Danio rerio: one gene and its partners. The protein of the gene in region 7 purifies or fractionates together with the protein of the main gene of each other region. This does not show direct contact. Links are inferred from orthologs where the notes say so. Each region holds a gene or a part of one and is shown on either strand. Other genes may lie near its edges. The genes, in order: chchd2, usp10, mrpl3, igf2bp3, ilf2, ago2 and ybx1.

Region 1 (2,484 bases), on a different chromosome or scaffold from region 7:
CGAATTTGCTTGAAATAACGCAAAAACAAGCAATTTACACTTTTTAGTGAAATATAGGTGTCCTAATAGTGTTTTAGCAGTGTGGGACACATATACGACTGTCAACAGCTCAAAAAATGTGTTTTGGTGTTTCGTGACCCTAAATGTATGTGACCCTAAATGTATGTGCGGCAGGTTTTGTTTGTTTGTTGTGTAAAAAAAAAAAAAAAAAATTGAAAAGCTATTTTGTAATGTATGTTTCATATCTAATATGTTCAATAAAAATACTTTTGGAAAAAAAAATAATAATGTTGCTACAAATCCACTACATAATTTATATAAAGCTGCAACAAGGGGACAACTTTATAACCCATAAATAAGAAAAAATAAGGGCAACTTTTCACATGTTAACGAGTTCACAGTACGAACCATTGGAGAATCTGCACTGTTTGAGCACTTCGCTGAATCCCTCGCAGAGTTTGAGGTCGCTCTGAGACTGAGCGCACTCGATGAACTGCTTCATCTCATATGAACATGGGTTCTGCTGCTGCGGATCCTGCTGGTACATGGGCTGCTGTTGCTGCTGTGGCGGGTACATGGCCTGACCCTGGTACGGCTCCTAAGAGACCATCAAGGATGAAGAAGTTTAGGTGTTTCCAAGAATTCATCACTGCCTTGTTTAAAAACTCCTACAATTATTTAGCTAGCCCAACTAGACGAAATATTGAGATAATTACTAATAGAATACAATAATAATTGTAAAAATTGTTGAGCAATGTATATTTCATTATATCTTAAATTTCTGGAAGTTTTAGGGTTGGAATTTATTATAGGTAACACTGTTGCTCAGTGGTTGGTACTGTTGCCTCACAGCAAGAAGAACACTGGTTTAAGTCCTGTCTGGGCCAGTTGGCATTTCTATGTGGAGTTTGCATGTTCTCCCCGTGTTGGCATGGGTTTCCTCTGAGTGTTCCGGTTTCCCCCACAGTCCAAAGACAAGTGCTGTAGGTGAAATTAATAAACTAAATTAGCTGTAGTGTATGTGTGTGTGAATGTATGGGTGTTTCCCAGTACTGGGTTGCAGCTGGAAGGGCATCCGCTGCGTAAAACATATGCCGGAATAGATGTCGGTTCATTCCGCTGTGGTGACCCCTGATAAATAAGGGAGTAAGCCGAAGGAAAATTAATGAATGAATTGATTATTGTATTCTTTAAAGGAAAACTGCTAAAATTACTTAGCAAGTCTAACTAGAAAAATTAAAAACTAGTTCAATAATTACTAAAAAAACTGATGTAAACTCTGTTGTAAAGTTGTCAAATTGTCTTGAATTTCTAAAGGTTTTAGTGTTCGGTTGATTTCATTATTCGTTTTTAGAATTTTTTTTATAAAATTCGCTAAAATGATTTAGCAAGTCCAACTAGACAAAAGTGTTTAAATATTTATTAAACAGATATAAATTCTTGTATATAAATAGCGGTCTTGTATATTTACATTTATTTATAAATTTCTATATTTATCTATACATTTCTTAAATTTCTAGAAGTTTTAGCCTTTAATTTAATTCATTATTGCGTTTCCTTTAATTCCTAATATGATATAGAATGTCCAACTAGACACAAATATTTTAATTACTGATAAACTGACATAAACTCAAAATTTCTAAATTGTCTTGAAATTCTATAAATATTATAACTAGATTTTCTAGAAGTTTTAGGGTTTGGTTAAATGTATTATTGTGTAATTTGAAAGAAAATTTTCTAATATTATTTAGCGAGTCCAACTAGACAAAAAATACTATAATAATTACTAATAAACAGATAAAAGTTGGCGGTTCATTCCGCTGTGGCGACCCCGGATTTATAAAGGGACTAAGCCGACAAGAAAATGAATGAATGAATGTTTGCTTATTTATTTGCTGCTAATGTTAACTATTTTTTCCTTTTGTATATAATAATATTAAACATATTACTGACCATTTAACTGTTTATTTACAATGAAACACCTCCAGGAGAACATATTTAGTAATTTGGGAATTCTTTTTGCGGGGGATCCCTTATTATGGTGGGAAATTTCCTTATTTTCACATCCCAATGTTGACAGGTATGCGAGTACTCTATTGTCAGTAGTCATTACCTATTGAGGTTAAAGTTATTTTGTCCAAAATAAAAATTTTATGTCATTCTAATGCTCTGAGACCTTCATTCATCTTCAGAACACTTTTTATAAAATAAAAATAAATGTAAAATGAATGCACCCGTGCCATAACGTTTACCTGATAGGTCACATCGGGCCTAGCAGCTTCAGAATGTCCCCCTCCGCCAAAGCCACCGGTCATGGCGTGACCTATTGTGTGTCCGACAGCAGAGCCGACAGCAACGCCTGCAGCAGTGGAGGCCATCTGAGCGAACATTCCCGGCTGACGGGGAGCAGCAGCAGCAGGAGGAGCCACCGCTGAAGGTGGAGGAGGAGCCGGAGCGGGTGCGTAAGACCGCGGAGGAGCTGCT
Region 2 (4,190 bases), on a different chromosome or scaffold from region 7:
GAAATAAACAAGAGAATAAATGCATTAGCATTTTTTTTTAAAAACAATCAAATCTTTTAGGCATGGGACAATAATCGTTTTTCAAAAGTATACCGCAGTAAAGAAAAGTCAAGGTTTTAAAAATCGCCAACATTTTCTGCTATACTGTTCCTATGGAATATGTAGGATTTTTTTTACTCCAGACTTTTGTTTTTAACAGTATATCCGACAGAAAAGATCTCCAAAGATGCCGTTTTAAATTGTCAAGAACTCTGTGTTTTTGAAACAAAAGACAGCACAAGTCAATGATTCACTTAAATGATTTAGCCTGACGTGTTTACTGCTCCAAAATATTTTAAATGTTTCTCAAGATTAACTAAATTGTGTTCAAAGGGGAAAGAAATACATCACAATATTGTGAAACCCCAATATATTTTTTAAGGTTATCATACTGTCAGAATCTTACACTGGCCCATTACTACCTCTAATTACGCATGGGACGATAACCGTTTTCAAGGTATACCGTGGTTTGGAAAAGTTAAAGTTTTAATACCACAAAAACTCTGTTATACTGTTCCTACGACACATGTAAGGTTTTTTTTTTAATGTTTTTAGAACAGTATCTACAGCAGAAAATATATCAAGAGATGCCTTTTATGCCTTTTTTTAAAGATGCCTTAAGAAATCTGTGTTTTAGAAACTAACAAATAGAGCAAACGTCAATGATTTGTTTTAATTACTTAGCCATACATGTTTACTGCTCCAAAATGATTCTTAAAATCATTGTCATTGTGGAAAAGTGTTGTTTTTTACCAAGACATTTAAAAAAAAGAACTCATTTGAGAGCAGCAATCGCAATAGTGAGATACCGTGAACCTGTGATATTTTTACCCAAGTTTATACCGGCCCATGCCTATCCTTTATTATACTTTATTTTTGAGCACACTGGGAGTCTTAAATAGACAGGGTCATTCAAATTTTGTATACATTAAACATTAAAACACTACATCTCCTGTCCCAATCCAATGTGTTTATGCAGGAAACGAATGCATAAAAAAATTCAATAAAAAAAAAAATCTACAGAAGATCCAAGTTGCATGCAAAAAAAGTAGTTGCATCATTAAGTGTTTAATAGTTATTAAAAGTATTCAAAAGATACAAATGTGTATTTACTACATATGTGAAAATATTGAAGTGTTTGCCTTTTTAATCATAAAGTAAATGCTGTTTACATCAACAGTTCTGTCTAATAATCAAAATTTAATGAGTAAAGAAATAAATGACGCTGAGGCACCGGTGTTCAGATGCTGTCAAAACTAAACACTTTCCATAAGGTGTTGTTCCATGTCAATCAGCATTGCCAGAATAATTACTTACAACAATCCTAACAAAACTGTAGTACTAATAAACAGGTATTATTAAAAACAACGCAAGGTGACAAATGCACGTCACACAATTCAAAGTTTACATGCATAAATGACATGTGCAACTTACTTTGACAGGACCTTGTGCTTTATGTGTCTAAACTGCCTACAGTCAGAGACCTTTTATTAAGCAGAATGACCCATAACTTTACACATTTAATACACTAACCACATTTCAGCCATATGGCATCAATGCAACAGTGCTAAAAGCCGTCCAACTTTATGAAAGTAGCACATTTAAATATCACACGTCATTAATAAATACAAATACCAGCCCTATGCATCGCATTAAACGCGATCGGGATGCATTTGATTATTCAAGACTTCACGTTTACTGACAGCACAGTGGAGACGCTACAGTTCAGCATGTGGCTAGCAGTCAGAGCTACAATGATGTAGCATCTTCACCACGGCGCCTCGTTCAAAGTTAGCTGACTTCAAAACCAGTCTAAAGACACTAAAAACACAGCCTGGTGGTGACGAGCTGTCACTAGAAATATAATGGATGCGATGTGATCAAGAAACAAACGTAAAAGTCAAACGCAAGAGTTTGAATGGGATTGAAGACAGGAAGCGATACCGCCCCCAATCAACAGGCCTATTTCACTACATTAGCAGCACGACACGACTCTATTTCAACTTGCTTGAACTGAAGACACTCCGCGGAAACACTTAACACTTTCTTACTGTATTCGGTGGAGTGTGCCACACAGGCGGTATCCGACAGAAATGTCGCCGAAACGCGGTGTGTTCAGTGCAAGATCGCGTCCGCCTGCTAATGACCGTTATTAACCGAGCACGCGCGCGTGGCCAGGCCGCTGCAGCAGCGTGAGCGGGAGGGCCAAACACAAACTCATGGCCGAAAAACACACACTCAGCGCTATGCCACACACACAGCCTCATGACAGCTGTAAATCACCCGTAAACCTTTATTATAATGGCCGCCTGAATGTGAGCTAGCAGACGGAATGCTAGTGGTTTTGAATAAGCGCGTGAAGGCTGTGGGCCTGCAGCCATGCTGCCGATTCAATGAGCTCGCACGCACAGTCCAACAGAAAGTACAGCACAAAGCAAAACAAACAATCTCTACGATATTAAACTGTAAATGAAAGCTTCAAAACGGTTTCCGTACCTGGTTACTTTGCGAAGCCATGCTCCCGGTGAGATTTCTCCACAATCACAAGATGAATGTTCTCTCGGGGGGGTAGGGGGGTAAGGTGAGTTTGTAGTACTTGGTATTACCAGTAAACACCTACTGTGACATGGTCTCCATTTTGCTATGGTTTGTCATACAGTGGTTTTACTCAGGTTTAGTGCCACTACTCCAGCATATCACGCCGTTTCCCCCACCGTCGCCGCCATCTTTATCTCGCGCCTGTGTGCTGCCAGTGGCGCTCGCGCGCGCTCCCTTCTCAAGCCTGATTTATACTTCTGCGTCAGGTGACCGGCGTAACCCACGGCGCAGGCAACGCGCGTGGCTGTGCATTTATACTTCTGCGCGCTGTCTCTGCCGGTCTGCATTAACACTTCCGAAACGCTAGTTGGCAGTGAGGTGTAAATGTTCCTCTGTGTCAAGTTTCTTCGCTACTTTTTTGCATTTCCTGAACACTTCCGGGATGTACAAGTGGCTCAAACTCGCTCATTTTGAGGCAGGAACCGGCGGACGTGCAACAACTTTAACTATGAGGTAAACACAAAACAAAACTTTCCATCCGGAGCTCCTTCACGGGACTCCACACTTGTAAACAATCGCTCGCGCGGCGTCGCGCCATTCGCGCGCCTCTCGGTCCCGCCCAGACTCGTCAGCGCTACCAAGCCGACCAATCACAGAGCTTATGCTACGCGTCGTTGCGACGTGTAGTTACATTTTTTGAGAGGTGCACGTCAGTGACGGCGATGGCCACGGCGAAGGGCTATGCGTCAGCGCCGTAGCATACGCCGGTGTTTGACGCAGAAGTATAAATCAGGCTTCAACGGGCTCGTGTGCGTGCGTTGACGTTCTGCCGGGAGGGTGGGCGCGCCAAAATGACGTGCAAATTCAAACTTGCACTAGGATGCTGAGCATATTTAATATTTAATAAATATTACTTAATAATATCATTAATATTAATTATCATTAATATCATTAATATCATTAATATTTAATAAATATTTAATATCATTAATATATTAATATATATTAATATCATTAATATATTAATATATATTAATATCATTAATATTTAATAAATATTTAATAAATATTACTTAATAATATCATTTTCTAATTAAGTTTTATATATCGTAGCAATAAAATAAAAAAGGAAACAGTAGATAAACAAGTACCAAGTTCAACCAAAACAGGAAATTCTTCCGTCACTTATTCACCCTTCACTTCTTCCAAACCTGTTTGACTTTCTTTCCTCTGTTGAACACAAAAGATATTTTTAAAATAAACTCTGTTAGCTTGTACTTATTGACTCCCATAGTATTTTAGAATAGTATTTATCCTACTATGAAAGTTAATTGGTACAAGCTACCAAGATTTTTACATATACCATGTTCAGCAGCGTATATAAGTACACCCCTCACAAATCTATCTTTTAAATGCATATTTTTAATAAGAAGCTATACAATATATTTGTGCATATACATTAGATTGGTCAGTACTGAAACCAAAAATGGAGCTTATCTAACAAAATAACTTACGATAATGGTCCAAAAACTAGTACAGCCAAATTTATGTTATAGAAAAATGTTAATTATAAATAAAATAAAAAGGAAAAATTAAGAGAAGCAAAAAACTGG
Region 3 (3,500 bases), on a different chromosome or scaffold from region 7:
TGGCTAAAAAGTATCGGTTCAGGCACCGAAAAAAAAAGGACTGGGTGTGTTTATATCACCCCAATATGACAATCGATTCACTATACCTACGTATATGCCAGTCCAAACAGCTCGAAAAATAGTTTTTTCACCATAGATGCCTTTAAATTGCTATAAAATTACTACAAATAATAGGCATAAAAATTATAAATCTGTCCCAACCAATTGTATTATCCAAATAGCATAAGAATAGCAGAAAGCAGTTTATTTACCTTAAGTGACTTTACTGGCAATTGTTCTTTCTTTCTTTTTTTTTTTTTACTTCAACTAAGAGAAGAAAAGTATGTGCATATTCACATTTACTTTAACAAGTTTAATTCAACTAGCAGTACAATTTTACAAACTTCGATAGTTTTTATGCAAATCCTAATAAGCAAATGAGGAAAATCTATTAAATGAGACCATTTGAATCAAATACTAACATATTTGTTACACCACCAGCATAACATAAGAAAAGAAGAATTGTTTGTACAACAAAATACGCAAACAACCCTTGAATATTTACAACTATAGCGCTTAGGTAAAATTACAGCACTTATGGACATATATTTTAACGTTTAAATTAGCCACAGAATTAAAATACATGTGTGTTACTCTCAACTGTTCACAGAGAAAAAGAAAGTAAAACCAATCTGAATGCAGTATTTTAAATGTTGACTAGATGGCCGGTCAAAACCACAAGTGGCTAGAGTAAACAACAATGATAGGGGTTCAAAAATATATGTTTTGGCGGGTCGAATCTCCTTATATCTTTTATGTCAGTTGCAGTCGTAAATGGCCCGCGGGCTGGCAGTTTAAGATTCTCCCCCCATTTACATCTGTAGTAAGTTGTCTTTGGTCTGGTCAAAAATGTTACATTTGAGCAGTTTGGTTCCATTTCACAACAGACCGACTGTTCACAACCAGTTGGAATGAATTAAAAAGCAGTCACAAGACAACATCCATATGAGTCGTTGGCTATTTCCTGAACTGCATTTTAATTGGTCAGAATTAACGGGTGGAAAACTCGCATACACAACACACAAAAATAAACAAAGAGCAGAGGAAATTTGCAGACCTTCCATAGTTGTGGTCAAGTAACTAAGTTCTTCAGAGTTCATTTGAAAGCATACAGAGAGCACCTCTTTAAGCAGGTCTCAGTACACTTGTTTGTGGACTACTTTTAGTGCACACCCGAGTATGATTTCCACTTTCCCACCTGGCCAAACAAACTGCATCAAAAAGGTGCATGAACTCTGGTACTTTTTAACTGAACTCAAAGAGGCAGTTGTAAGAGCAAAACACCCATAATTATTAGCTTATAAAATCAATGATACTACTATCAAAATAGAAATACAAAGATTCATAGACGCATTTGTATTGGACTCACGTTTTGGCTGTGACATCCACATATTGTCCTGGACGGAAGTGAGCTGCGTAAAGAGGAGTGCCTAGACAAAGAAAACCAAAACTTAAGTCAAAGCAGAAAAAAAACAAATTGACCAAAAAAAAAAATCTGAAACAAAATCAACAAATAATAATAAACAAATACACAAGGGAAAAATAATCAAAAACGTGTAAAAGTTAAAAAAATTTAATCAGGAGTGTTGTTTTTGCTTTATAAGTCAACTTGTGAAGTCATTTTCGGTGAAATATGTAACAAAAAAAGTAAAAGTAACTCAAATAATATTACTTATTTTTAAAAGTTATGCGTTATATTACTTGTTATTTTGCAAAAGTAATATTATTACGTAACGTGAGTTAGTTATAACAGGTTACCCCCAACAATGGTAATGACAAAAAGTATACAAGAAAATTACTAAATGTTAAACTTAAAAAAAAGAAGAAAAAAAATAAAGTAAACAAAACAACAAAATGCACAATCAAACAGACATTGTAAAGGCTGAGTTACACTTCTGCGTCAAGTGATCACCACCGTGACCCACGGCACATCTTGCGTGAGGTCATGCATTTATATTTCTGCACGCTGTTTGTGTTGCTCTGCAATAACACTTCCAATATGCTAGCTGGCAGTAGGTTTTTATGCTCCTCTATGTTGACTTTCTTTGCTGGTGTTTTGTTTTTTCTGAAGGCTACCTTAAAGTACAAGAAGCTAAAACTCGCTAATTCACAGGCGGGAACCTGCAAACGTGCAACATTATTTATGTTCAAGGGGTATGCGACTGCGCAAAGGCTGCGCCAGACCATACGTATGCGCTTCACGCAGAAGTATAAATTAGCCTTAGGGCGTGTTTACTGAAATTCAAAATTAAAACTAAATTGATTTTAATCTGTTACAGATTATATATCTGTTATAGTTAAGTTAAAATTATTAGCTTTTATTTTATTTTTATTTTTTCAAATTTTGTTTAACAGAGCAAGGAAATTTTCACAGTATTTCATTTGATATTTTTTTTTTTTCTGGAGTTTGCTTTATTTTGGCTAGAATACACACACACAAACACTGACAGGTGAGAATACCTGGTTTGATTATAGCATTGTCTGTAACACAAAAGGTGGTGAGTTTCTGCTTGGGTGGAATTCCTGCATTCTGGAAAATCTCCAAATATCCCACCGGCCTCTGAAAAAAAAAAAAATTAAATAATAGCTTGACCGAGTTACTGCAAGAGATTTTCTAACTTATCTTTAAAAAGCATAGAAAGGGTGAAGAAAAAGAGAATACATTAAACCCAAACTGCTCTGCTGTGTTTTGGGAGTTGATTGACTGACTGAAGGCTCGGACTGAAGGTCAGGACAATTGACAATTACACTTCAAGCAGCACTTTGTGGCAGCTGTCAAATACAGACAGATGACACACACACTAGCTTATTGCCAAAAATGGGGGAAAATGACACTGACAAAAGTTATTTTTTTATAGCAAACTCTACTGAACTGTTGAAGGGGTTTAAAAAATCCGTCAGAATCTGTCCATCACTGTTAGTCTTTCTTTTCTACCACCAACAGTTCCACCATTACAGAAAGTCAATCGAGGAGTTCCAGAAGAATGCACTTAAAAAAGCTGTACAGGAGACAAGTTGTCTAGGTTTCACATAATCATTTTCCGTAACATGCACATACACACAAAAAGGTCACCTCTACATCTACTGAGAGCCCTCTAATTTCTTTTCAGGTTTTATTATAATCCCTCTCATCCACAGAAGCAGAACAGCTCTAGTCTATTATCCTGTTCCACCTCAGAGAGGTCAAGGATTGGCAGAAAGGTGAAGAGACAGAGGTTCGTTAGGAGCATGTGGACAAGAGCAGTCTTACTGAAAAACGTTCAAGACATGTCTTACGTGAAAAGGAGAGACATTCTTTCCACCAACGACCAGAGCTGATGTGTGCCCATTATAATCTTCCTTGGACAGATGTTTGACTACATGACAGTCCTTCACCTGAAAGACAGATTTGGGTGTGTTAAATTCAAATTCCAACTGCATTTACAGTTTCCCAGTTGCATACATACAAAACATAACTCCAA
Region 4 (3,500 bases), on a different chromosome or scaffold from region 7:
CGCCAGTAAAAGTGAAGGGGACACTACATTGTCAGTGGGCGCAGTCTTTCTGATGAGACATTAATCTTTCCGTGGTCATTAAAAATCCCATGCCACGTCCCGTAAAGAGTAGGGGTGTAACCCCGGAATCCTGGCCAAAATCCCTCCATCGGCCCTAAGGATCATGGCCTACCTAATCATTCCCATCCACCGAATTGGCTCTATCACTGTCTTTCTATCCCCCTATAGCTGGTGTGTAGTGAGCGCACTGGCGCCGTTGTCCCGTGGGTGCCATCTCATCATCCAAGCTGATGCTGCACATGGGTGGTGGTGTGGAGAGATCGCAATCATGATTGTAAAGCGTTTTGGGTGTATGGCCATACACAATAAAATGTGCTATATAAATACACATACACTACATTTAATTGTTAAAAATCACAAAACCACATATATAGGAATTTGCACTAACAATGTGTGGCAAATTTTTCCTTTCAACTAATCTTTTTCAAAACCAGTGGCAAAACTACCATAATTATATAGTATAATTATGAAAATACCAAAATTTAGCCATTTTTTACACTATTTTCCTTCTTTGCTCATTTTTGTTTGTCTTTAAATGTTGGAAAATTTGTTGCTTGACAGAAAATGGAAATTTTATTTTACACTTGATTTTAACCTTAAATAATTCTACAAAAAAGCCAAACAGACTGACAGTCAATAAAAAAATTAAAAAAATGACTTAAGGTATTTAGAAATAACAGACCAAAAGACAGCTATTATGTATAAATCGTACAAATACTTCATTCTGAAACTTAACTAGCATAATTCTTTAATAGCAAATAAATTAAAGTTTCACCTTTATTAAAAGTTCTGATAGGCCTTTGTGTTGCAATGACTGAAATAAAAACGTATACAAACAAATGTGAAACTTAGCCTTTGTCCCACCCTTAACTTTCACGTAAAAACTAGACAAGGCCGACTGTAAGTGGTCACTTTTCAAATCAGTCAAATCTCCGCTTCAGAATCACAGTGGTTTGCATGGAGAATTTTTGCATTAAATAGTCACAAACGTTCACAAACATTAACTTTTTTGGCGTGAAAATTGCATACAAAATCTTCTTGTTAATTTAAGCACTTTTCAACAAAACAAGACAATTTTTCAGGTTTTCCGGAACTTAAATTTGTAAAAGCCAATTTCAAACCCTCTAAGCACCTTGTGCGAACCCTGTATACAGCTGGGCTTCTTTTGCGCATCATTTCCTTTTAGCAAACTAACGACAAGAGAGGGTATCAATATGCAATTGCTATAGAAGCCCTCAGGTTGGCGTCAACAAAAAGACCACCACACCAAACTTCTTTGAAGATGATCAAAACAAACTTTTTTTTTCTTCAGTGGATTAACTTGCGCTGAATAATTATTCACCTTAAGTATAATAATGGTGAGCTAGCAAAATAAACATAGCACATTTTGATTTCATGAAGACTTGACTCAAATCGTTTCTTTAACACCTAGGTTTCTTTAAACTGTTCTACCTCTGAATCAAAGTCTGAGAGTGTGTATTTCACCATACTAAAATTCTTGCAACTTCAATTCCCTGACTAAAAAACATTTGAGATTACATAATTTGCTTCTCTTTCAGGTCAAAACTGACCTGAATATGTTATGATACTTCACTTAAAACCACTGCTAAATAATTAAACCCCAATTCCCTCACATTTAAATGTCAAACTACCAACTAAGAAAGCAGTCCAAATCTTAATTGTCATCGGTTTTCCTTCGCAATTAGCATTGACCAACATAGAGGACAAACAGAACTGGGCAGAATGAATAAGCTAACTGGACAAGTAACAATGGTGCATTCCAAATGGGATAGATGACCACCATAACAATCATGGTATCCATTTTGAAGTGTTGTTCCAAATCAAACTACTCAAAACAGAAAAGCACTTCAGAATGAAGGATTTGGTCCCCCATGATCCTTTGAACAGGAATGTTATTTGGAGTTGCACATTGCATTGTATTCGGAAGGACTCATCTCTATTTCCTAATACATTCGAAGTGATCACTCAGGATGGTAAATCCTCTGAAAGCTATAGGACATTGGGAAGATCCCTTCCAAATGCAATGCAGTTTCAGAGTCACTCGTGCAGATCAAGTCTAATCTCTGTTCAATATGCGCCATCTTGGGAAGTCTATATAATAATTAAAATTCAACCCAGTGCAGATGATTTATTCATGACATGCTGCATGCTGGGAAACAGAATCCAGCAGTGACGAACAAAGAAAACCAACATGAAAGAACGCAAAGATGAAAACTACTTACGGTGAGATTGTGATCTTGGTGTCAGTATCTTGTTCGATTTTCTTCAAGTTGCGTCCCTCTTTTCCAATGAGGCGGCCAACGAAATTGTTATGAGCCAAAATTTTAAGGGGAATTTCTTCAGTGCTATGAGAGAAAGGTGTATATGGTGTGATTAAACGCACAAGACTAACTTTAGTATGACAGACAGAAAACCATTTTATACAGTGGGCACATGCATTAACGTACATCTTTGTGTCGATTGCCTCTTTCTGCATGATCTCCATGATGTTTCGACAGGCAGAACTGCAGCCCTCTGGTGTTGAGTGAACAGTGATTGGCTTCTCTGCTGCTCCTGCGTTCTCCTTACGATGAATGTCAATCCTGTGCACACACATTAGAAATCAGTGTGTTAACCAACTGGAGGTTCCTTATACTAAGACATTTCTGTTGATGAAATTCAGGCGAAAAAAGTAACTGTAATTTTCGGTTTTTGAGTTTTCTTTGAAGGCAATCCTTCATGCAAAGATGCAATAAATCAATAAGAATAAAAAAAAATTAAAAAGTAGCAGTAAAAAAAATGTTCAACTTGGTCACTTTAAAAAAAGAAACTGTTCTTATAAATTTAAATTGTTAATAATAAATGGTTTCTAAATGACTGTTGAATTCAGTTTAATTCAGTTTAAAGCTTTAACAATTAAGATTGTGTCAAAGCAGCTTAACATAGTTCTAGTGAATGCGATGATATGATAAAGCCATTTTCAGCTACCATAATTACAGGCTGTCAAAAAAGAAACAAAATTACACTTCAAAAATTTCAATAGAAATAAGAAATTTACAATTGTAAGAACTTCACACAATTCATGTTTTTACTGCATTTTTTCTTTCAGATAAATGCAGCATTTGCTAGTAAAGGGTGAGATTAGAAAACATTGAAAAATATACATTTAAATATTTTTTAAATATTTGATAGAATTTAAACATTACACTATATAGACACAAACACTTCAGAAATTTGAAAAATGATAAGTTAAATCAGGCTAAACGCTTATGAACTGCAATTTAAAAGAACAAAAAAAAAGACTGATCAAACTGTTAAAACTGTCAACAACAAAAATAATTTTAAATAAAATAAAGTTGGCTACTTTTAATATACTTGGCTATTTTTGTACATTAAATCATCAAAACTGCCTTTTCTTTTCAGTAGTTTGTTGTGTTTTG
Region 5 (4,050 bases), on a different chromosome or scaffold from region 7:
AATGAAGCTCTGGGTCCAGTTTGCGCAGATTGGGTGGGACAGTGGTGATGAGGATTTTTACTGTGGCATCGGCAGAGCTGATCTCAAATCCAGTCTCGTTTGTCAGCATGGACAACACTGGGGAGAAGAGGAAAATGCATCAGTGAGAATGGCAAGCAAGTCGGATTTTTTTTCCCTCCCTGAAACTACAGGTCTGCCAGATTAAAGCCTATACTCACCCTCAGAAGGGTCCTGGGTTCGCAGGGTCTCAACAACTTTGTTTCCCAAGGCGGCAACAGCTTCCACTGAACAAGAACACGTAAACATTACTGATAAACCAAGTACACTTGGGCTAGGAGCAACATGTTGGCCTCATAGAAATCTCAAGACTTACAGGTGGGCAGAATCTTCAGGATAACCACAAGGTCAGCAACATTGTGTCCTGCAGTCATGGTGCCCTTTTTATAGGAGCCCACTTGTCTTACTTCCTCAATTTGCTGAAAAAGGGATTATCAAACTTTCATTAAATAAGTCTAAAAACATATACATAAAATATTTTGAAAGGCATTAATAATAATAATAATAATGTTTTACTGAAATATCTTACCACTTCAAAGTTTCCAGGTGCCACAATTAGGTTATCAATGACGTTGTTAATTTTGGTGACCAAGGACAAAATGGAAGCCTGTGACAAAAATGAAGAAAAAATTTGCTGTAATTTGTTAATAATGCAATCAAAAATTGGTTTGCTTTTGCACTCCTAATACAATATCACATTTTATGCATCTATTCTAGGTCAAAACCAAATGTGTAACAGCTCACAATCTTTAAAAATTAATAGAGGATGTTGAGACCTTATCGGATATATATAATATATATATATATATATATATATATATATATATATATATATATATATATATATATATATATATATATATATATATAGGGCTGATTCCAGCGTTATGGATGTGACATTTGCAGTAAAAATTCAAAACATAAATTTGCAGAGAAAGTATATTTTAACATTATATTGAATCATCCGTTTATATTTTCCAAAACAACTAACCACAGAGTTCTGGGATCAAAAAAATTCAATCTGTGAACATTTTTATACTTTAAATGAGGAAAATAAACAAGTGTTATGGATGTGACAAAAAAAGTCTGCGAGTTTACAGTATACAACTTATTTCGTTAAAAAAAATCTGTGAATTAAACTGCACAACCTAAAATAAATAATTCTCAACAAAAGGATAAGAGTTGGCTCTTTATAGAACAAAACTGATTTATTTTATTTTATTTTGACATTTTTGCATTTTTGAGGGAAAATCTTTGCTATGGATGTGACACTTTTTCGTTATGGATGTGACGGATGTGAAATTGCCATTTGTTTGACTTTGGTAAATCAAATAAATTAGTTTGAAAACATTGACAGAGACATTTTTAAGTATTTTTAAAGTACTGTAAAACACTTGCCTGCGCAAAAAATGTAGGAACGGTTTCGCTATTTTGGTGAAAAACATTTTTCTTTTCATGGCAAGGTTGACATTTTCATGGAATTGCTCATATATATATATATATATATATATATATATATATATATATATATATTACAATTCCATAATTTACTCCCACTCAAGGGGTACTAAACGTTAACGAATTTCTTCTGTTAAACACAAAACAAGATATTCTTAAGAATATGGGAAACCAGCATTTTTTGGTGTGTTCAACCAAATTAAGAAATTCAAACAGGCTTGGAACAAGTTGAACGAGTGTAAATGTCAACGACATTCATTTTTGGGTGAACTATCCCTTTAGCATGAAAGGGCAGAAGTCATGGAGTGTGCAGTTTTCATAATAGTTTATGACCATACCTGTTCAGAGGGGGTTGGACTGAGGTCTTGGTTCCTCTTCAACAGACATTCACTGAAAGCAGTCTCATCAGAGGCCGGCTTCACTCGAGGAAAGGCCATCTCACACTGTACAAAAGCAAGTTGTCATGAGCTCTGGGCTTAAAAAGGCTGTTTTTCCTCCCCACAAATCAGAAAAGCAATAAATGTACTTACAACATAGAAGTCAAATGGTATGTGAGGGACAAAGGGCCGATACCTGAGACAAGAGAAGTCACAGGTTACAAAATTATTACAATATAACCAAATTTAAGTAAGGGGGTCAAAACAATATGGTCATGAAATCTTACCCTTGGACCAAACCTCCGCGGGAGCCGAACCGGCCACCTCGGCCCCTGCCACGATCTCCTCTGAGAAATAAAAACGTAATTTCAGCAAGTGCAATACAAATAAATAAATAATGATGTCCAGCGATAACCCAAAATTGGATTTTTTAAAGTTTAATTTAAAACCCAAATAAAAAAATAAATATCACAAATTAGATAGCAGTATTGTTCGAATAAAAGCACGGCGTTCATTCATTCATAAACGCTCTCGGTTTTTTTTTCAGGAACACATCGTTTTGCAAATAACACAATATGTATAGAAAATCCAGAATTATGACTATAACCGGAAAAACTTTACTAATAAAAGTGTTTATTTAGTTACTGTATTGATTAAAAACCGACAAAGGGGCTAGCAGAACATGCTAACATGTTAGCTTAGCATCTTTGAAAAAAATGTATAAAATATCACAACATACAGTATTTTGCTATAATTCGGTTTATAACCTAATCAAAAAGATTGTTTAACTATAAATGATAAATCAGTTCGTACCTCATTGCGTAAGACGTTTTGTCAGTTTAACAGGACACACGCTGGTGAGAAGAGCTCTGCCTCCGCCTGCAGATAGCCGCCGAGTAGCTAGCTTCAGAAAACGGAAGTAACTTCATAAATCCAGCATAACCACCTAGAATAAAAGCCCGAAATAGCAGCCCACACAATAGTAAAAGTCTCAGTTGAATTAAGGTTTTTCGAGTTTATTTAGGGAGGAAATAACAGTAGCAGAAAGAGAAACTATCTAACATTCAGCTTTATTGTCTTTAAGTCAACTATGAAATTATTTAAAATACTATTTTTATGCATTACAATGTATGGATGACAACTACTCGCTTTTAAAACATTCTATTGTTTGGATAAGCTCAAACAAGTAGCATATAGCATACATAAAATTTTGTAAGGATTAAATCACAACATTCTAGATAGATTACCATAGTTTACTATGTTACTTTGAATGTTCGATCTGAATTAGCATGCAAGCATGACTTCTAAACAACATTATTAGTATCTAATTCACTGTGAACCATGTTGTACTTTGATAGTCATTTGCTGCTAATATGATTTCCCTATTTGGAATTTGCAAAGAATACTTTCTGAAATTATATTATTAATGAGAATATCTGAATTTCCGTATATAAAACCAACTTAACCTCTATCTAGACTGCTGCTGTCACATGGTTATACTTTGCTGAAGATAGCTATAGTTTTGTAAAGATTAGAAATATACAAACACAGATAATTTACTTCATTTGAAATAAATAATACACAAACAAACAAGCACATCACTAACAGGTCCACATTGTTCGACCCTAGCTATGGAACCCTATTAGAAATTTAAATAAACAAGAGAAGACAGTTTGGTCTGTATTATTTCACCCTTTTATGTCTTATATATTTAAAACCTTTAGGGATTAAAACAACAACAACAAATATTATTTCCATAAATAATCACTTCAAATGCATCTTGCAGGGGAGACTTGACATGTCAGGGGTGGACCTGTACAGTCCTCACACTGCCTTTATCAGAGAACACCAGACAGAAGTTGTGTTACATTCCACAGCCAATCAAACGCAGGAAATCCAAAGCTGTGCAGTTTTGCGCAAATTACGTAGATGTAATGCATGTGCTGAAGTAAGATAAGGGTTGTTTTTTAAATGTTCAGTCACCTCCACTGTTATTACAGCAATATGCCTCCATCATCACAACACATCCATCTACAGAACTAAATGCAGTGATAAGACAGAAGGTAAGAATATTTGTAATAATCTAATATGAATATTATCAGTTTCTTGTGAAATGTCTTAGGTAGGTGTCCAGGCAGGTTTTTGGATTATATGTATA
Region 6 (3,500 bases), on a different chromosome or scaffold from region 7:
CATGGGAGATGTGGGTATCGAAGCACCAGTTTGTACTTATCCTTGAAGTACTGGGCGACAGTGCATTCAATGGTCTGACCATTCTCTTGCTGCAAAGGAAACCTAGAGACAAACAAAATACATTTTAAAGACATCAGCTTCAAAATAATGAATCTTTCAATGAGAAATATTAAATGTGATGACAAAAAATAGAATACACTATACAAAACGCATGGTTCCACACAATTCAACCATGTGGTCTCAACACAAATCCGTCAAGTTTAATGCATTAAATTTGTCCTGCTTTTTTTAGTGTTTTTTCAGCTTATATTAAATAAGCAGTTTGAACAAGAAGCAAAAATATTTTTTGGGTGTACAGAGGTCCCTCTTTATTTGCGGGAGTTGCATTCTAAAAATAACTCTCAACAGGCGAAATCCTTGTAGTCAGCTTTATTATTTTTTGTACAATTATTATAGATGCTTTAAGGCTGTAAAATCCCTTACTACACATTTTTCTCAGACAGGAATTAGCATTTTCACTCTTTTCTCTTGTTTAAACACTCTCAAAGTAAAAAAAAAAAAAAAAAAGTCCAGAAAAATAAGTTCAGTGTTATAGAATAAAACCAAAGATCAAAACCTGCTGTCAGACGCAAACATTCATCACTGTTAGCAAAACGTTTATAAAGCTTTTTAGCTTTTGTGCGGATAATGTTGGCATCCAGTGTAATGTTCTTTTTCGTGCAGTCACTGATTCAAAAAACTTAAGCAGACTCCATTCTTAAGGGGATTGCACACCGGATGCGCCTCGCACATGACAGTTGGAAGTAACGCACACAGTACACGCACATTTGCATGTTACTTAAAATTAAATTATTCAGACGGCGCTCTGTGCCACGGCAAAAATATGAACAGTCCCGAGTCATATCTGGGCGACGCTGGGAGCTTGAGAAACCTATATAAACCCTGATAGAAACCTATATTTACAATTCTAAAATGCAAGGCGCTGTGGGGCATCCTTGTTAAAACTCACACTGATAGCGATCAAAGATTTATGTTAATTTGTCAAGCTGAATGCATTCTGTACGGTACAGGAGACATGAAGGAGATTGATTGACAATGGTCTACAGCCAATCAGGACGCATAAAAAAAAAAAGTCAAATTGCACAAAAGAAAATAAAAAATCTGCGAAAATGTGAGGCCACGATAGCTGAACCACGTTACAGTGAGGGGCCATGGTACTGAGATTAAAACCATGTTAAGACACTGGTGTTTAGATGTCCAGAAATAGTGTAAAATAAGCCAGTATTTCTAAATAAAACTTTTCCAAACATTTTATACATGCATTTAATTCCCCTTGATCTACATTAAATCCTTTAAACTGACCAGTATTGGAGTTTAAAAAAGGAATATAAAATGCATTTAAAAAAAAAATGAAAATAGTCAAAAAAAAAAACTTAAGTATAAAAATTGTTTAGAAATGTTTAAAATATGGCATGTGGGAAATGTGCTACACCCCAAATCTATGTGTGTGCATGTGTTGCTTGCTTGATATAAATTTAATTGATTGCTTAAGCTGCTTTGGGATATAAATCAGAGAACTTTTCATACAATTGAAATACAATTTTGAATAAGTATGTTGTCCTAAAAATTCTTTACTACAGCAAGTTAGAAATTGTGTCGTCAAATCTTACGTTTGATGGCTGGCTGGTCTTCTCGTCACATTACACACTCTGTACTTCCTCTTCATTTGTCCACAGTGAGTAATTTCAACCTTCAAACCTGTAAAATGAATGCAAAATTCACATTATCCCAAAATAAACTCCATAAAAGCCGTTGTAAATGTCAATGACCACTGTAAGAAATTACCCTTGATCTCCTTGGTAAACTTCACTCTTTGGGAATCTGTTAAGGGCTTTTGCTGCTCTTCGATGCTTTTAAAATCCAAAACCTCACACATGAATTCAATGACGGGTTGAGCTTTGTAGAACGCAGTGGCAGACACTAAAAACGATTATACAGAGAAATCATTAGCAAAGTGCAAAATCAAGTCCAACGAATACGGTCAGTGCAATCTTACCATCAATGTTGAGCATCATCTTCCAGAGTGATGGCCGAACAGACTGATGAAAACCAAACCAAACTTCTCTTCCTCCACCAAGAGGGTTAGAGCAGCCCTCCGATGGAGTGAAGAATGAACGTCCGACTGGGGTGTACCTGTAGAAACAGCAATAATACTTAAAACACCACAACAGCATTGTGGATGATGATCTCCCAAAATGGAGATATTAGATTAGATTAGATTCAACTTTATTGTCATTACACATGTACAAGTACAATGCAACGAAATGCAGTTTAGGTCTAACCAGCAGTGCAATAGCAGCAAGTGCAGGATACAGGAATAAGTTATAAAGTGCAGTTATAGAAAACTATGGTGATATTTACAGATGGAATGGATGTACTATGAACATTATATACAGGTTGGATAAGCTATGAACAGATTTACAATATATGAATATATGTGCAGGTTGCTATTAATAATCAGTAGTGTGCAGATAGATAAACATGATTACAAGTGTATATGTTACAATATATGAATATATGTGCAGGTTGCTATTAATAATCAGTAGTGTGCAGATAAATAAACTTGATTACAAGTGTATATGTTACAATATATGAATATATGTACAGGGATAGATAAACATGATCACAAGTGTATATGTAACAATATATGAATATATGTGCAGGTTGCTATTAATAATCAGTAGTATGCAGATAAATAAGCATGATTACAAGTGTATATGTATAGTGGGTGTGTACATAATTACAAATGCCCATATGCAGTGGGTATGTACAGTTCAATAAGTAAACAGTTATGTAGAATAAGTCAGTGCACACTTACTCAGATTTAAGTTGCTAAATGAAAAAAATATATCATGGAGTAGGGTTGCACTATATATCACAAAATTATGGTTATTGCGATAATAGGATATGCAATACAAGTAATCGCACAATTTTATGCAGTGGTGATTTATCTAAATTTGACCATTCAGATGGGACCTTACTATCTTTATCTCCACCTCCACAGTAGTTGCTGTTCATCTATTGTCTGGAGTGGCCCAAAGGTAAACTCAGAGGTAAAAATAAATGGCCAGTTTTCACTTAGTGGTACGGTAGGGTGCGGTGCGCTTTTATGGCCATTTTCACTGTCGAAAAGGTACCAAAAAGCGAACCGTACTGTACAAATTTTTGGGTACCCTAGGGTACTTAGCAAAAAAAAAAGGGTACCAAAAGGCGGAGCCAGATGCACAGCTGAATGTCTTGATAAGCCACAAAGCCAAAAAGAACAAAATCTGCCGTGTCCTGTTGTTGTTTTACGAGGTTGTTTAAAAGCTCGAGCGGTTTCACTTTCTCTAGAGAGCTTGCGATCCTCGCATGCGCGTTTATATTTGAATTAACGAACTTCTTGAGCTGATGATAACAACATGCGTGTGATTACTGAAGTGCTTCTGACATCAGATTCT
Region 7 (2,879 bases):
CCACAGATTTAGCTAAAAAGGAGAAGAAAAATTAAGTCATCTACATCTTAGACGTAGGCCTGTCACAATATCTATTTTTTTGTTAAACAACATTTTGAACCAAAATGTATAGTGATAAACAATATTATTGTCATTTTAAAAGCCTTTTATTAAATAATGCCAGAATGACAATATATTAACCACAAAACAAATACACTTCCAAAGAACACAATTTATTCTTAAGATTGTTTAATTGCCATTTTAACTATTTAATAATCAGGCACTGGAATCAAAAAGTGTGAAACGCATATTGTAAACAATAAAATGTTAACAAAAAATTTAAATAGAATAAAAGTGCAAGGTAATAAGTAACAAAGTCTGTGATATGTTAGCAGATCTATTTTCAGCTGTCAGTCATCCACATAAAAATATACTCTAGGAATTACTACAATGTTTAGAACCATAAAGAGGCTGCTCAGTTAAAACGTTGCTAGAACTGATTATGTATGGGCGATATATACTGCATCACCAAAAATGATCGAGGTCAAGTCCATGTGTTGTGCAGTAAGTCTATATATTGATCGTGACAGGCCTACTTCAATGACCCAAGAGTAATTTATCAGGAAACTTGTAATTTGGGGTGGATCATTCTATTAAAAAAATAAATAAATAGAATTGCTAAATTAATACTTAATTAAAACAATAGAAAAAGAAAACTTAAATAATGAAAATCATGAATATCTGAAAGATCTCCAAAGTCCAGCAGCAGTATTGTTCCTCTTATGACATACAAACCTTGGTCGGAAGCCTCTGTAGTAGTTCTGCCTCATTGGTTTGTTGCCCTGGTCTGGACCCCCTTGGTTCTCTTCACCTTCACCACCCTAAAATTCAAGAAAAGCATCCATCAGTCAAAAAAGCAGCTTCCAATTTAATTTACTGACTGATGCTCAGGCATCACCAAAAGCATACCTCTGTCATCTCTCCTCTTTGTGAGTTGGTGTAGGGGGGGCGTCTGCCGTAACGCCTCCGCACGAAGTATGGTGGGTAGCGCCGTCTGCCGGGGTAAGTGGGTCTGCGCTGCTGCTGCTGCATCTCCCCCTCGGGGGCGCTCTCTGCCCCCTCTCTCTTCTCCCGGGGCTCTGCCTCAGGGTCGCTCTGATAGTTCTCCTGGTAGTCGCGAGGTGGGGCCCTCCTGCGTGGGTACCGCCTGTAACGGTTCCTGTCAGCTGCATACTTACTACCCTGCACAGGAACGCCACCCGGGCCGGTAACATTTGCTGCCTCAGCCCCCTGACAGAATGAAGACAATGCAGATCAAGTGTCCGCTAATTTAATAGATGGGCTGTTGCTTTAGATAATGGATGCAGAATTTTCCAGTAAGTCATTCAGAGTCTGGCCAGAAATATGATGCTTAATCAATATCGGCTTCAAAGCATTTTTATTTAGGATACGCAGAGAATTATTTTAGTAGTTCTGATGACATAACCTCTCTGATTTTGAATTTCAGCTTATCATTTTTATTAATGGCTTTGTTAGTTTTAGTTTGGCTTTTAATTTGCTGTCAACATTTTCATTTTGTTCTTACACATTTAGTTTCAGTTTTGGCAATTCTCACACACCTAGAGTTAAGCAAATGTTTTCACCGCTTTTTTTTTTTTTTTGGACTTGAACAGAAACACCATATAAATTCAACTTAAAAAAATTAGCAAAATCATAAACTGTTGTTTGGCATGAAAGTGAGAAACATCATATTAAAAGTATCAACATGTATAGTTAACAAATTTTGGCAGATAACAAAAACTGATACGTTTTAGTTTTTTGGTACATCATGCACTTGACAACCAACAGGTATCACCAAACATGAAGACCTCATCGCCACCAAGTCTGAACCAATAACATTGGCGACATTAAATAGATTCACTAAATATTGACTGTAAGAAACTAGTCCTAAACTAAAACATCATTCATATACTTTAACAATGTTAATCCAGAAGATGTCACCTATAGAACAGTGTGCTGCCTTCATTACTGCAGTAAACAAAGCAGTGTGACATCAAATACAGCAGGACTATCAACTTCATAAACTACACAGCATCACAACATTTAAAACTTTAGTATACAACTATAATCAAACAACCCTATACTCAAACATGATGCAAAAGTTAAATTGAAACAATACTTTAAGGCCCTTAAAGTCTTAAACGCAAAGTTAATAATTTAGAGAAATTCAAGACCTCACGGACACAATTGATTAGCTCTGAAAACTATTATTTTTGCTAATTAATATTTTCAGTTTTGGTTCATTTTTCAGTGACTTATTAGTTTTATTTAGTTTTATTTTCATTTATTGTGAAAAATTTATTTCAGTTCAGCTTTAGTCTTTGTTGACAACAGAGTTCTTTCAGTAAACAAACAGAGTATAAAACTAACAAAGCAGTTTAAATAAAAGAATTGTGAAGTGCTCTAGTAAACGTCTCCAATAAAAGGCTTGAGTGAACATTTAGGAAATGGCGACTGACAAAGTGTTATAATATAGAAATAAACACTCTGCTTACACGGTCAAGCAGCGTCTAGTGAAGTTTCCACATATTCAAGAGTCAAGATATTCAGCCACCCCTATCGAAAAGTCAATTAAAGTCAAGGCAGGGGTGTCAAACTCCATACAGGACTGCAACCCACCAGGAACTGTTTAGTTTTAACCCTGCTTCAACACACTTGCATGTATGTATTAAACAAGCTTGAAGGACTCAGTTCTATCATGTGTGTTTAATTAGCGTTGGAACTAAACTGAGCAGAGCTGCGGCCCTCCAGGATTGAGTTTGACATCTGTGTTATGATTTTGTGCTGTTTAATGCATTTTAATTTAAAGCCCAAAGCTTGACTAGTACTACATAAAAGCA

What was found.
Region 1: the proteins of ybx1 (region 7) and chchd2 purify together in Homo sapiens (affinity purification with mass spectrometry; 3 studies listed by BioGRID and IntAct, with this or other methods). This does not show direct contact. The link is inferred for Danio rerio from reciprocal best matches to the Homo sapiens genes YBX1 and CHCHD2.
Region 2: the proteins of ybx1 (region 7) and usp10 purify together in Homo sapiens (co-immunoprecipitation; 3 studies listed by BioGRID and IntAct, with this or other methods). This does not show direct contact. The link is inferred for Danio rerio from reciprocal best matches to the Homo sapiens genes YBX1 and USP10.
Region 3: the proteins of ybx1 (region 7) and mrpl3 purify together in Homo sapiens (affinity purification with mass spectrometry; 3 studies listed by BioGRID and IntAct, with this or other methods). This does not show direct contact. The link is inferred for Danio rerio from reciprocal best matches to the Homo sapiens genes YBX1 and MRPL3.
Region 4: the proteins of ybx1 (region 7) and igf2bp3 purify together in Homo sapiens (affinity purification with mass spectrometry; 3 studies listed by BioGRID and IntAct, with this or other methods). This does not show direct contact. The link is inferred for Danio rerio from reciprocal best matches to the Homo sapiens genes YBX1 and IGF2BP3.
Region 5: the proteins of ybx1 (region 7) and ilf2 fractionate together in Homo sapiens (co-fractionation; 4 studies listed by BioGRID and IntAct, with this or other methods). This does not show direct contact. The link is inferred for Danio rerio from reciprocal best matches to the Homo sapiens genes YBX1 and ILF2.
Region 6: the proteins of ybx1 (region 7) and ago2 purify together in Homo sapiens (co-immunoprecipitation; 4 studies listed by BioGRID and IntAct, with this or other methods). This does not show direct contact. The link is inferred for Danio rerio from reciprocal best matches to the Homo sapiens genes YBX1 and AGO2.

The regions. Positions count from the first base shown.
Region 1 is NC_133190.1:6,038,359-6,040,842, forward strand, and holds part of chchd2 (coiled-coil-helix-coiled-coil-helix domain-containing protein 2), read right to left. Parts: coding exon 2,253-2,484; intron 599-2,252; coding exon 409-598; intron 1-408. UniProt on the Homo sapiens protein: Transcription factor. Binds to the oxygen responsive element of COX4I2 and activates its transcription under hypoxia conditions (4% oxygen), as well as normoxia conditions (20% oxygen).
Region 2 is NC_133182.1:74,677,648-74,681,837, forward strand, and holds the start of usp10 (ubiquitin carboxyl-terminal hydrolase 10), read right to left. Parts: upstream 2,801-4,190; 5' UTR 2,557-2,800; coding exon 2,536-2,556; intron 1-2,535. UniProt on the Homo sapiens protein: Hydrolase that can remove conjugated ubiquitin from target proteins such as p53/TP53, RPS2/us5, RPS3/us3, RPS10/eS10, BECN1, SNX3 and CFTR.
Region 3 is NC_133194.1:21,458,606-21,462,105, reverse strand, and holds part of mrpl3 (large ribosomal subunit protein uL3m), read right to left. Parts: intron 3,415-3,500; coding exon 3,316-3,414; intron 2,600-3,315; coding exon 2,500-2,599; intron 1,470-2,499; coding exon 1,409-1,469; intron 1-1,408.
Region 4 is NC_133194.1:22,624,807-22,628,306, reverse strand, and holds part of igf2bp3 (insulin-like growth factor 2 mRNA-binding protein 3), read right to left. Parts: intron 2,664-3,500; coding exon 2,529-2,663; intron 2,427-2,528; coding exon 2,304-2,426; intron 1-2,303. UniProt on the Homo sapiens protein: RNA-binding factor that may recruit target transcripts to cytoplasmic protein-RNA complexes (mRNPs). This transcript 'caging' into mRNPs allows mRNA transport and transient storage.
Region 5 is NC_133194.1:40,099,865-40,103,914, forward strand, and holds the start of ilf2 (interleukin enhancer-binding factor 2 homolog), read right to left. Parts: upstream 2,801-4,050; 5' UTR 2,711-2,800; coding exon 2,706-2,710; intron 2,240-2,705; coding exon 2,180-2,239; intron 2,089-2,179; coding exon 2,046-2,088; intron 1,959-2,045; coding exon 1,854-1,958; intron 665-1,853; coding exon 587-664; intron 477-586; coding exon 374-476; intron 285-373; coding exon 219-284; intron 118-218; coding exon 1-117. UniProt on the Homo sapiens protein: Chromatin-interacting protein that forms a stable heterodimer with interleukin enhancer-binding factor 3/ILF3 and plays a role in several biological processes including transcription, innate immunity or cell growth.
Region 6 is NC_133194.1:44,207,482-44,210,981, reverse strand, and holds part of ago2 (protein argonaute-2), read right to left. Parts: intron 2,194-3,500; coding exon 2,057-2,193; intron 1,981-2,056; coding exon 1,846-1,980; intron 1,759-1,845; coding exon 1,671-1,758; intron 103-1,670; coding exon 1-102.
Region 7 is NC_133183.1:56,874,186-56,877,064, forward strand, and holds part of ybx1 (Y-box-binding protein 1), read right to left. Parts: intron 1,270-2,879; coding exon 949-1,269; intron 861-948; coding exon 775-860; intron 1-774. UniProt on the Homo sapiens protein: DNA- and RNA-binding protein involved in various processes, such as translational repression, RNA stabilization, mRNA splicing, DNA repair and transcription regulation.